Drosophila melanogaster: one gene and its partners. The protein of the gene in region 2 interacts with the protein of the main gene of each other region in a pairwise test. Each region holds a gene or a part of one and is shown on either strand. Other genes may lie near its edges. The genes, in order: mrn, GstT4 and CG13551.

The links.
Region 1: the proteins of GstT4 (region 2) and mrn interact in a two-hybrid assay, tested with the Drosophila melanogaster proteins (one large-scale study listed by BioGRID).
Region 3: the proteins of GstT4 (region 2) and CG13551 interact in a two-hybrid assay, tested with the Drosophila melanogaster proteins (one large-scale study listed by BioGRID).

What each region holds. Positions count from the first base shown.
Region 1 is NT_037436.4:15,578,928-15,582,679, reverse strand, and holds the start of mrn (marionette), read left to right. Parts: upstream 1-2,142; 5' UTR 2,143-2,173; coding exon 2,174-2,472; intron 2,473-2,527; coding exon 2,528-3,728; 3' UTR 3,729-3,752. Other genes in the region: CG12301 (uncharacterized protein), read right to left, coding at 1-1,326, 1,386-1,790.
Region 2 is NC_004354.4:13,402,673-13,406,424, reverse strand, and holds the start of GstT4 (glutathione S transferase T4), read right to left. Parts: upstream 1,677-3,752; 5' UTR 1,459-1,676; coding exon 1,341-1,458; intron 1-1,340. Other genes in the region: CG12725 (uncharacterized protein), read left to right, coding at 3,711-3,752.
Region 3 is NT_033778.4:23,381,793-23,385,544, forward strand, and holds the start of CG13551 (uncharacterized protein), read right to left. Parts: upstream 1,633-3,752; 5' UTR 1,528-1,632; intron 1,331-1,527; 5' UTR 1,306-1,330; coding exon 1,256-1,305; intron 968-1,255; coding exon 823-967; intron 800-822; exon of another isoform or gene 760-799; coding exon of another isoform or gene 1-759. Other genes in the region: yellow-d2, read left to right, coding at 1-759; CG30414 (uncharacterized protein), read right to left, coding at 2,442-2,854, 2,910-3,157, 3,213-3,255, 3,321-3,534.

The DNA of each region.
Region 1 (3,752 bases), on a different chromosome or scaffold from region 2:
ATCGTTAAAGCCTCCCGAGTTGCCCTTCTTTTGGGTAAACACCAAAGTTGTCACCTTGTTGGGATCTATGGTATCCACAGCTGGAATTTCCGTGCTTTCTGTGTTACCTTCAACGTGGGCAGGGATATTATTCTGTGAATTTTTATCCTCCTCGTAGTTAAGGGGCTCGTCAATCTCTATCTGTTGCTTTGTCTTTTTTAAAGCCAGACTTTTTAGGTTTTGCAAGACGTCCTTCTTTTTCGCCTTCTTTCCCTTGACAGGAACTTCTTTAAGTTTGTTTATCCGTTCCCTCAATTTCTCCATTTTCTTATTTAGTTTGGCTCTGATATGATCCTCGTGTTTCTCAAAAATGTCATCAATGGCTTTTGAATTCGGGCTTGCCTTGGCTTCTTTCTGATCAGTTGGGCAAATATCTTCCACCTCCCAGCCATTTTCTATCTTAACTTTCGATTTCTTAAGTTTCTTCTTAGCAGGTTTTACTTCTATTAATGGTTTCCGAATAGTTTCTTTCTCCTCCTGCTCGTCATTATCCTGGACTCCTTCCAAATCCCTACGATGCTCCTCCAGTAACTTTTCGTTTTTATTCCTTTTTGTCCAATATTGCCGCCAATTGGAACCCTCACTTTCACCATTTCCATTTTCCGTTTGCTCTGTAGCTTTTCTTTTTGTCCAAGGATTAAAGGGATCGTAGTCATTATCCTCCTCCTCGGGTAAAACTCTCTTCTTGGTGGTTTCATCTTCGCTGTCTGACACCTGCTTTTTCTGGGTCAGTTCCCTGCTAACAGCCAACTGCTCGGCCAGATCCTTTCGCACATCCTTGTCGTACTTGGCCCGTATCTGCAGATTCTTCGCCCAAGTACCGGTGTTCTTGTGCCGCAGGCTGGCACGCTCCTGCACTCGACTCTTTTCCAGGGCATTAAGCTTTTCCAGCGCCGCCTCTGGATCGGTTTTCTGCAGCAACTCGAACTCCTTCATCTGCTCCAACATTTTTTGTCTCTTCTGCAGCTTGTGGAACTTTTTCGATTTGATTTTGTTTTGCATGCGCGCCTTTGCTGACTTTTGAGACTCGCGCATCTTCAGGTAAGCTAGCTCCTTGCGACGGGCAAATAGTTCGTCCCTGGTAAGCTTCTTTTGTAGTAAAAGCCGCTCTTGCTTGGCCAGCTCCTTTTCATCCGTGGTATCCCCAATTTGCGCTTTGCGCAGTTCCCGTAGTTTACGGTTGTTAGCCTCGAGTTCTTGAGCAAGATTGGACTTGACCCGGGTGTTTAGAGGCCTGGCATTTGCCGCAGTATTTACGTAAACCGTTTCAGATGGTAGGGGGAAGATCTGTAATAAGTTTTGGAGATTATATGTGTATGTCACTGTTAGCATTGGCATTCATTCACCTGCGTCTCCGCAGATCTCTGTTGAGCCACCACAGCATCCCAACGACCGAGTTTCTTGGTAACTCCCTCGTAGCCAATGGTCCGTTTAATTCGATCCGCAGCTGGTTTCTCCAGCGGCTTCTGTAGCACCTTTTTGCTGCCATGGATGTTCTTGAGCTTCTTGCCCGTCTGACTGTGCTTGGTGGAGGTGCGTAGGATGTCTACCAGATCGTTCAGACCCACGGCTCTGGGGGCATGATCCGTTTCCGCTGACGAAACACCTTTTACCAGCTGGAACTCATCCTGGAGCGACTGCCGCTCGTCGCGCGTGGACTTCTGGATGTGCTGCACCTTGCCCAGACTGCCGATGGCCTGCAGCAGCTTCTTGTGTGCCTTTGGTTCGTAGTGCTCCTCGTCGTCACTCATTTTTGTCAGGAAAATATTTAAAATCAAATAACAATACAAAAATACTTCGCGCAGCACGTGTGCAGAATAACAGCTGAAGAGTTATCGATAAGTTTTGCGGCCCATCACAATTTCTACCTGTGCTCGATAGCATGAGTGTGGAAAATGGAGCTGCCTTCTTTTAAAAATTAACTTAAATATAATAACATTTACTACTCAATACATATATCTATGCATCAAAAATCAATTGATTTTTTTTTAACAATAAATGTACTTTTAACTCAGCGAAAACCCCCTTCGTAACGCCCTTGATGATTACTATCGATTGTCCCCCCACGAAAGACCGGCTATCGATGACAACGGGATGAAAATATTTTGTTTACGAATTCGACATTCGAATCGTCATGGCCGACACGAAATCCGGTAGTGGTCGGCATTCGGCTGCCGGGGGAAGTGGAAACGCCGTCCTGTCGCCCTTGGGGCAGGGTCCTGCGAACTTGGAGTGTAAGGACTTTCAGGAGTATCTGCGCACCCGCCAAACGCCAGAGTCGCTGGAGAAGCTGTACAACTATCCGCCCATTTGTTTGGCCGTTTTTCGGGAGCTTCCAGAGATAGCCCGGCAGTTTATCATAAGGATACTGTTCGTGGATCAGCCTGTGCCACAAGCGGTGGTCACATCATGGGGTGCCCAACGTTGTGCCAAGTATGACTGTATCCAATTGGATAAACAATATCATTGCAATGCATTACTTTTGCAGGGAGCAAGCCGAGGCAACCAGCTGCCTGACGGCTTTGAACGTCTGGCGGGTCACAGCCATTCCGGGTGGCCTTTCTGCGTGGGAGCTCTCGCCCACCTTCAAGAAAAGCGTACGCCAGGTGCTGCTGGGCGGCGGAAAACCTTGGCCTATGACCAACACGCTGGATAAGGACTCGAAGCCCAGGGACATTGCTTTTCTGGATACATACGCCATGTCCCGCTGGCGTTGCGTGTTGCACTACATGGTCGGCACCGGAAATCGCAATGGCACCGATGCGGAGGCCATTAGTCCGGACGCCGTTCGGATTCTGCTGCACGCCAATCTCATGAAACGTGATGAACGAGACGGTATCACAATAACCCGGCAGGGCTTTCAGTTCCTGCTGCTGGACACGCGAGCTCAGGTGTGGCATTTTATGCTACAGTACCTGGACACGTGCGAAGAAAGAGGAATCAGCCTGCCGGAATGCTTGTCCATGTTGTTCCAGCTCAGTTTTTCAACGCTGGGCAGGGATTACAGTTCCGAGGGCATGAACAGTCAGATGCTGACATTCCTGCAGCATCTACGGGAGTTTGGACTGGTCTTCCAACGTAAGCGTAAGGAGGGACGCTTCTATCCCACACGTTTGGCTCTGAATGTGACAAGCAAGGAGGCGGCTGCGACTGCATCTGTGGCCATGGATGAGGAGGCCACTCAGGACTGTGGCTACATTGTGGTGGAGACGAACTACCGAGTGTATGCCTACACTGATTCTCCGCTCCAGGTAGCCGTGTTAGGTCTGTTCACGGAGCTTCTCTACCGCTTTCCCAATCTCGTCGTGGGCGTGCTAACCCGCGATTCAGTGCGCCAGGCGTTGCGTGGCGGTATCACGGCAGAGCAGATTGTCTCGTATCTGGAGCAGTATGCGCATCCCAATATGCGCATGGTCGAGTCAGCCATTCACTCTAAATCCTGCCTGCCACCCACAGTCGTTGATCAAATTAAGCTGTGGGAATTAGAGCGAAATCGCTTCACCTACACCGAAGGCGTGCTGTACAATCAGTTCCTCTCGCATACAGATTTCGTAACGCTACGAGACTACGCCCAGTCGATCCACATGCTGGTGTGGCAAAATGAGCGAACTCGCACAATGGTGGTGCAAAAGAATGGCCACGACGATGTCAAGCGTTACTGGAAGAAGTACTCTAAGAGTGGTGTTTAGCCCGGTATTACGACCAATTATTGG
Region 2 (3,752 bases):
AACAAAAAAGGCAGGCCTGTCTGGGAATCGAACATTGTATCGAGGAGTTGGGGGAGCTCTCCTTGGGATTAGCATAGTAGTTGATATCCCAGTATATACCTATTTATGTGGCTATCAACTTACGCGATGCCAAAGCGTTGACGTCAACGCGAGACGACATTATCCACATATCGCAATTATATATGCAGCCGTTAATGTGGCCGCTGATTGCATCCTCGCATCAATTCTGCACTTTATGGCATTTCCGCCAACCTTGACCAAGTGGAGAACGACCAAGACGAGGTGTGAAGACCCTCCTTACCTTAGCTCCATTCCTAAATTGATACCATATGCGAATCATCGAAAAGTGCTAAGCGCACGCGCAGCTTGGCAAATAGTAAAACCACATCCAACAAATGATGAAGGAAAACAAAACTCAAGCGAATGGTAATGGAAATAACAAAGTGGCTAACAAAACGCTGGATCTCATCGAAAATTTGATAAGTGTCCCAGTTTGGCGAGCAGGTGATAAAACCAGCGCAAAGATCGGTTTCTAAATTCTCGTGCGGAGTAAACACGAGCAAAGTGCACTGCGAATTTAAGGTACAGTACTGAATCTATACTATTGAATCAAGAATAATATATAGTATGTACATATATTGTATATTTTTGAAACCCATATTTGAGTTTGTAGTTTGTTTGCCCTGCGATAAAAGCGTGAATAGAAGGCAATTAGCCGGTTTTCTTTTTTTTTTTTGGATGCCCCCAAAGGCTAAGATTATCTGTAAACACGTTCAAAGTGCGACTGCTCAATAATGCTCGAACACTTCTGCAAAAAAAAAAAATATAATTATTTTGCACACACTTTCTAAGGAATCCTCACGTTCGTTTCGGGATTCCTTTTAATCTTATCTATCATTTGCTAAGAAATTATTTTTGAGAACAATCACGTTTGCATTGAACTCATATGTACATATGTATGTACAATACATATGTTCGTCTAATCTCGCCATGTTCCACAGTTCCTCAATTGTTTTCGAATGGAGTGACACTATTTCAAAAACGACGTCTGCCCGCTTTCGCCTTGGAAACTTTTCGTTTGGATTGTGGAATTTTTAACGAGCGGAAAATTTATTTGGAAACTCACTCGCCGACTCGAAAAATATCGAAAACAAAGGGCAGCATAAATGCATAGGAATGTGTTCGTCGGTCGGTCGGTTGGTCGGTTGGTCGGTTGGTCGGTTGGTTCGACCTTTGGGCCCTTATAGATGTGGCTGGTCTTATAGATGTGGCTGTGTGTGCCACCGCTCACGTACTCCCTGCCCACCACCACTCCCTTCTTAACAGCGAGTACTACTCACCTTTGAGCATCGATATGGGTATGGCCTCGAAGGGGATCTTGGAGGCCTCCAGGAGGATGTAGAGCGCCCGGCTCGATTGGTTCAGGAAATCGAAGTAGAACTTGAGTGGCTGCGACATCTCGTTGATATATACTAATATATATATATTCCAACTATATACAGTGTGCTCTCTCCAAGTGACTAGAGTGGGTGCGAAAAAAAAAGTTGTGTAGGCACTTCAATGCACTGCAGTACAATCCAAAATTCGAAATTCCAGATCGGGGGATTCAAATCGAAACTGAGATCAGATCGCTTTGGAACCGTATCGCTGGACTTTTGCTGCTAGACTGAGCTCCGCAGCGCCGTCGCTGCGACATTTTAAACGCAATGCCGCTGCGTCGACGCCGACTGCGCAGCAAACTGGTGGGTGGGGTGAGGTGGTGTGTGGTGTATGGTGTATGGTGTATGGCGTTTGGTGTACGGTGTGTGGTGTGTGTGAAGTATTAGGGGAGGGGTGAACGGGGCGCATTCATTAAATGCGCCGCAAAAACAAGCCAGCGGAGCAGCGTTGCGATCACAACAAGATGCTAACAAAAAAAAAAAAAAAAAAGAGAAAAAAACAAAGCGAACACAAAAACAAAAACAGAGACAAAAAAGACCGGCTTCTTGTGCATATGTACATTGTATATGGTGCCCCCACTGCTGCTCCTCTGCTCCGCCTCTGCTGACACTGGCGCTACCCTTTCGCTGAGATCGAGACATTGCGACTGCATGCCCCTTTGAAAAGAGGGTGTGGCCCACAGCGAAAAGAGAGCGGGATATGCAAAACTTACCTATCGTAACTCGGGTATTACCAATCGGATGGTGGTGAAAATTGGTACCAGGTTTTATTACTCATTTTCTTGGCCGTATACCAAAATTCATACTAAAACTTACATAAATGCGATAGTTACAAGCAGCTTATATTTTAACCATAAAGTCATATAGAGTCCATATAGCTTCCCTTGCCGCTATTAAACTCGATGCATTTACTCAGGGCTTAACGAACACTTGGCTTAAATCCATGTGTTAGGGCTTTCCCAATTTTCGATAGGGTATTTCAAGTGTGCCTAGCTGTTCGATTTTATCGCTGTTTGTTTTGCTTTTAGTATTTTGTTGCTGCTGCGGCTTTTCTTGTTTTTGTTTTGCTGGTTTCTTTTTGACTCGGTATTCGGCTCTTTCGCCTTTGTACTGGACTAGCTTTGATATATTCGTGCGTTATCTGGCGACGATTTCCAATCAGAAAATGCTTAGTATTAATAAGTGTTTTGAGGATCCCAGCGATCCCAAGCCCCACAGCACCCCACTAAACGAATCTACGATGTGCGGTGTTATCTTGTTTACCAAAAACGGGGCCAATAACAGAAAATACCAACAAGAACAAGAAACACAACTATACCTTCCATATCGGTCAGCGAATTGTTTTTGTTCAACTGTTGAGCTGATAAAACTGGGCCGAAGTGCCAGCCAAAGTGCCTTGTCTTCGGATGTATCTGTATCTCTAAGATGCATTCGCTGTCACAAGTGTACGCTGTCCGTACAAGGTGGCACAACAGTTGGCACAAAGATACTTGCCACGATAATGGCTCAATAGAGTGCACTACACTTCACTTTTGATCAGCTGTTCATTTCGTGCATTTTCAGAAATTTCGCTATGATTATCCTATAAAAAATAGTTAATTTCTATTGCTAATTATTTAACTTACTAACTTAAAAAGTTGGAAACATTTAATTTTTTATATTTATTTTTGAAAGACGACCTTGGCAGCTGAAAATTATGGCATCGAATTCGTCAGAGGTTCATATGAATCGCGGAGGAGAGCAAACCGCGCTGAACGGGTCACGCCTTCACATTAAAGGCTTTTCTTAGTACCTCGCCAAGGATCGATTTGCTCAATGTATTCACGTTCTGGTCCTTGGAGGCCACGTGGCCGCTGGGCAGTGGAGCCCCGCTCTTATGAGTTTTCTCTACCTGTATTGATTGAAAATATTTTACTTTCACGTCGAAATCAAAAATAGTGACTATTCAAAGAATATGCAACTGTTGTGGGTTAAAGCGCGAAAATGAATTTTTATTAAATTGGAATAGCCGAATATATCAACTTCAGGGTTGCCAATTGCTCCTTATGAAATTCGATTGGAGAATCGACAAAGGAAATCAAATAAGGTAATCAAGGATGCCATTAAATTTAACTCGCACTAGCATTCGCATGACGACGACAGTTTGATAGGGGATTCCAAGAGCAAACTTTTATCCGAACGAAGCAAAACTTAGAGCTTGTGTATAAAACGAAAAAAGTTGCAGTTCGACGTGCCAGATACATATATATATATATATATATCTGGATTAGGATGCGTAAGATGCAAGTTCTAGTTCAGACGAGCGACGGCAAG
Region 3 (3,752 bases), on a different chromosome or scaffold from region 2:
GGAAAAGTCGCGCATCAGTACAAGATGCCCAAGCGATTGTACAAGGAGGGCGTGAGTCGCTTTGTCACGCCCACCGTGGAGCTGGATCCGCACAACTGCGATGTGGGATTCGTGTACATGGCGGACTCCATTGGAGACGGCATTGTGGTGTATGACGTGGCAGCCCAGCAGTCGTGGCGGATTGAGAACAAGTTTACGTATCCTCATCCAGACTTCGGCACATTCACGATAGCAGGCGAGAGCTTCCAGCTGTGGGACGGCACGGTGTCTACCACTCTAACGCCCCACGGCTTGGGTGGCCGGCGGATGATGTATTTCCACTCTCTGTCCAGCGAGTGGCAAATGGCCATTCCGTTGGATGTGGTCAACAACGGCAGCAACTGGCGGCTGAACGATGTGAGCGCTGCCTTGGATCAGTTCCAGTTGCTGGGCAAGCGGGGAAGTCAATGCGTTGCGGCGGCCATGAGCGAGTCCGGCTTTCTGATCTGCGGCCTGGTCCAGCCGGCCAGCCTTTTGGCCTGGAACATTCGCACCGGCTACAGCCATCAGAATCTGGTCATGCTGGTGGAGGATGAGCAGCGACTGCAGTTCGCCAGTGGACTCAAGATAGTGCGCAACCACGAGGGCAAGGAGGAACTGTGGGTGCTGTCGAATCGGCTGCAGAAAGCCTTCGGAGCGGGTCTGGACTACAAGGAGATAAACTTTCGCATACAGAAGTGCGGTGTTCAGGAGCTGCTCAGCGGCAGGCCTTGCAACTGAGTCGCTTCCCGCTGCTGCTCAATAAAGCTAATGATGAAATAAGTTGTTTTCTGGGTCACTCACCTTCTTGTAGAAGTACTCCTCCTCGCGGGCAGCCTCAAGCTTGCCGAAGGCTCCGCCGGCCTCGCGGATAGAGCCACCGCCGCCGCCTCCCTTGCCGGCGCCACTGCCTAGGTCGCCCACCTGGCTGCCGCTCATCTTGGCCAGCCTGTGGAGCGGAAAATGGCGGTGGGAACCATTAGAATCTTCTGGTTTTGTGCGGTTACGCAACAGTGGAGTGAAGTCAGCATAGACTGCACACACACACATGCGCGCAGGGTGAAAGCGATTTCGATGGGATCGGAATTGTTTATCTTATCGAACATTGAGGAAAGTGTAAGTTGGGGGCATACATAACACTTTGAATATGGCGAATGAGATATGAGTGCTCTGTTAAGTCTTGTAAGCCAATTAGCAGGTAGTTATGAACGGGGGTTAAATGTGGGTAGAAACTCACTGGACTCCAGCGGGGTACAGACGAGATGCGCTACGACGTACAACGAACATTCTGTTTGATTCTTGAGTAGTTTAGCTGCAAGAGAAGCGCAGAAAATACAATTTATTGAGAAAACTCCATTACGAAGAGTAACTGTAAAGCCGTCTCCTTAACAAAACGGAGTGCATTGAACTTTTTCGAAAACCAAGTCGCAATAAAAGAGCCGCTATTTTTAGCCAGTTCTTTGTTTGTTGTTTGTATAAAATATATACACGAATACCCAATGCACATACTAGATTTAATGCCGGAAAAGTGCGGCGCGCTTGAACATTACTTACATTTTTGCGACGACAAAAGTTTTCTGCAGAGTGACCGTAGGCGCACCCTTAAATAATACCTTCGCGGCAGAGCGAGCACAGTCGGCGTGGTCTATCGAATATGTGAGCTTGCGATTTTAATCGATAACGCTTTATACCCTTTGCATACTGCAAATAAAACTAAGCTTCTTCTGTTGTTTACTTAATCATGGTAAACTAATATTTCAATTGCAGATTTCTTACTAGCAACAAATTTAAATTCTCAATCGACTTGGACTCTAACTTGACGCTTTAACGCTTTAACTTGAGTTCTCGTCGATTGTTGCCTTAATCCAGTCGACGTAGTGCGTCACATTCGTGGCCACTTCGAAGATCCTACAGGATGCATCCCCGTAGCTGACGAGTCCGAGCAGGAAAGCCCGCTTCTTTAACCCGAAGAGCAGCTTCGCGCTCAGCGGGCCCCCGGAATCCCCACCGCAGGCATCGCTGTCCACGCCAGTGGTGCAGATTTGGGACTGGTCGACTTCGATGTTGAAGTTGCTGTTGCAACACGATTGTTCGAGCGCAAGCAAAGTGGTCTCCTGGAGAATGCGGCTGGGCTTATAGTCTGCGGTGTGACCCCAGCCAGTGAGGGTGTAGAAGTGAACCTTCTCCAAGGGTTCGGTTTTTCCCCAGAATTCTGGGGAATCAGTCAAAGCGAGGCTTCGCTGCGTATAGCGTTAAAATTTGCTGAAGATAAGCTTCGCTTATGTACATAAATACTAATGCAGATATTATTGACCCGAATGGCGTCTACGACAGAAGTCAGGGGAGCCATTAAACCACTCGAGATAATATTTTGGATTGATAATATTTTCTTAGAAAAGCCAACGAAATGTTATTATGAGTAGCTAGAGTCTAAGCTGGAAAGCTCTGCTGAAGTCTTCGATGGCGTTCACAATCCAGTCCCTGTGGTGCGTAACGTTGGTGTAAACGGAGAAGGAATGGCATGCCGCCGACCCGTAGCTGACCAGTCCGTACTGGAAGGTCAGCCAGCTGCCGGCAAAAGGAACCTGTGCGCTCAGCGGGCCTCCCGAGTCGCCGTGGCATGCATCGCTATTTGTGCCAGCAGCACAAATCTGCGACTCATCCACCTGCTTGGTGAACTTGCTTCGGCAGAAGTGGAGGTCGGTGTTGTACACAGTGGCCCTCTGGAGCCTCCGGCTGGGCGTGCCATCGTTGGTGACACCCCAGCCGGTGATGTTGAAGATGGGACTTTCCGCCATGTGTCCCTCGACCAGGAGACAGATCGGCCGGACGTAGTCTGAAAGATATGTCCACTGCTTAGGGAGCCCTGGCTGCTGGATCCACCTCATTACCTGAGTACTGGACGAAGCTCTTCATGCGCAACAGGCCGATGTCGTTGTCCAAGTTTAGGTTATAATCCGCATGCAAAATCTTTCTATCCACAGCGAGTTCATATGACTTGGGCACGCAGCAATCCTTGCCAGGAAAGCGGGTGTCATACTCGCCCAAGCGTATTCTCCTGAGTTTATATGACTTGGGCACGCAGCGCGAGCAATCCTTGCCAGGAAAGCGGGTTTTATACTCGCCCAAGCGTACTCTCCTGTGGAAATGGGAATTCGTAAGTGTTCGCCGAAAGACAGTGCTGCCTCACTTACATGTGTGTACTAACGATGCAATGGGCGGCCGTGAGAACGAAGCCTGAAAGTATTAGCAGCAGGTGACTGGACAAAGAACTCATTCGTGGGCCACATTTGAATACTTACGACTGGTGATTAGCGAGCCACCACATAGTTTCTCGCCTAGCACCTTCACCATCCATGGATTTGAGAATAGGCCTGCGTCTGCGCCCCCGGTGATCATTGGGATAAATTCTGGTTTTGTCGTGCCACAACTGGAGTCTAGCAGGTGACCAGGTGCTCCTTCACCCAACTGGATGGAGCAGACCAGAAGAGCTAATCCAGCTGCGATGAACTTCATCTTTTCGCGGTAATGGAGCGACTGGCAAGCTTAGTCGAGTTTGAGGTAATTTTTGAGGAATTTTATGTTGACCAGCTGATAACAGTACACTCTTTATGACCGTCAACGGAAACGGATATGATAGGAATCAGTGTTTTGTTTTAATGAGTGCTCTCAGTACTTTTTTATTTTTATTTTATTTACGAATCTGGGGAAATTCCAACTCACTACCAAAAATT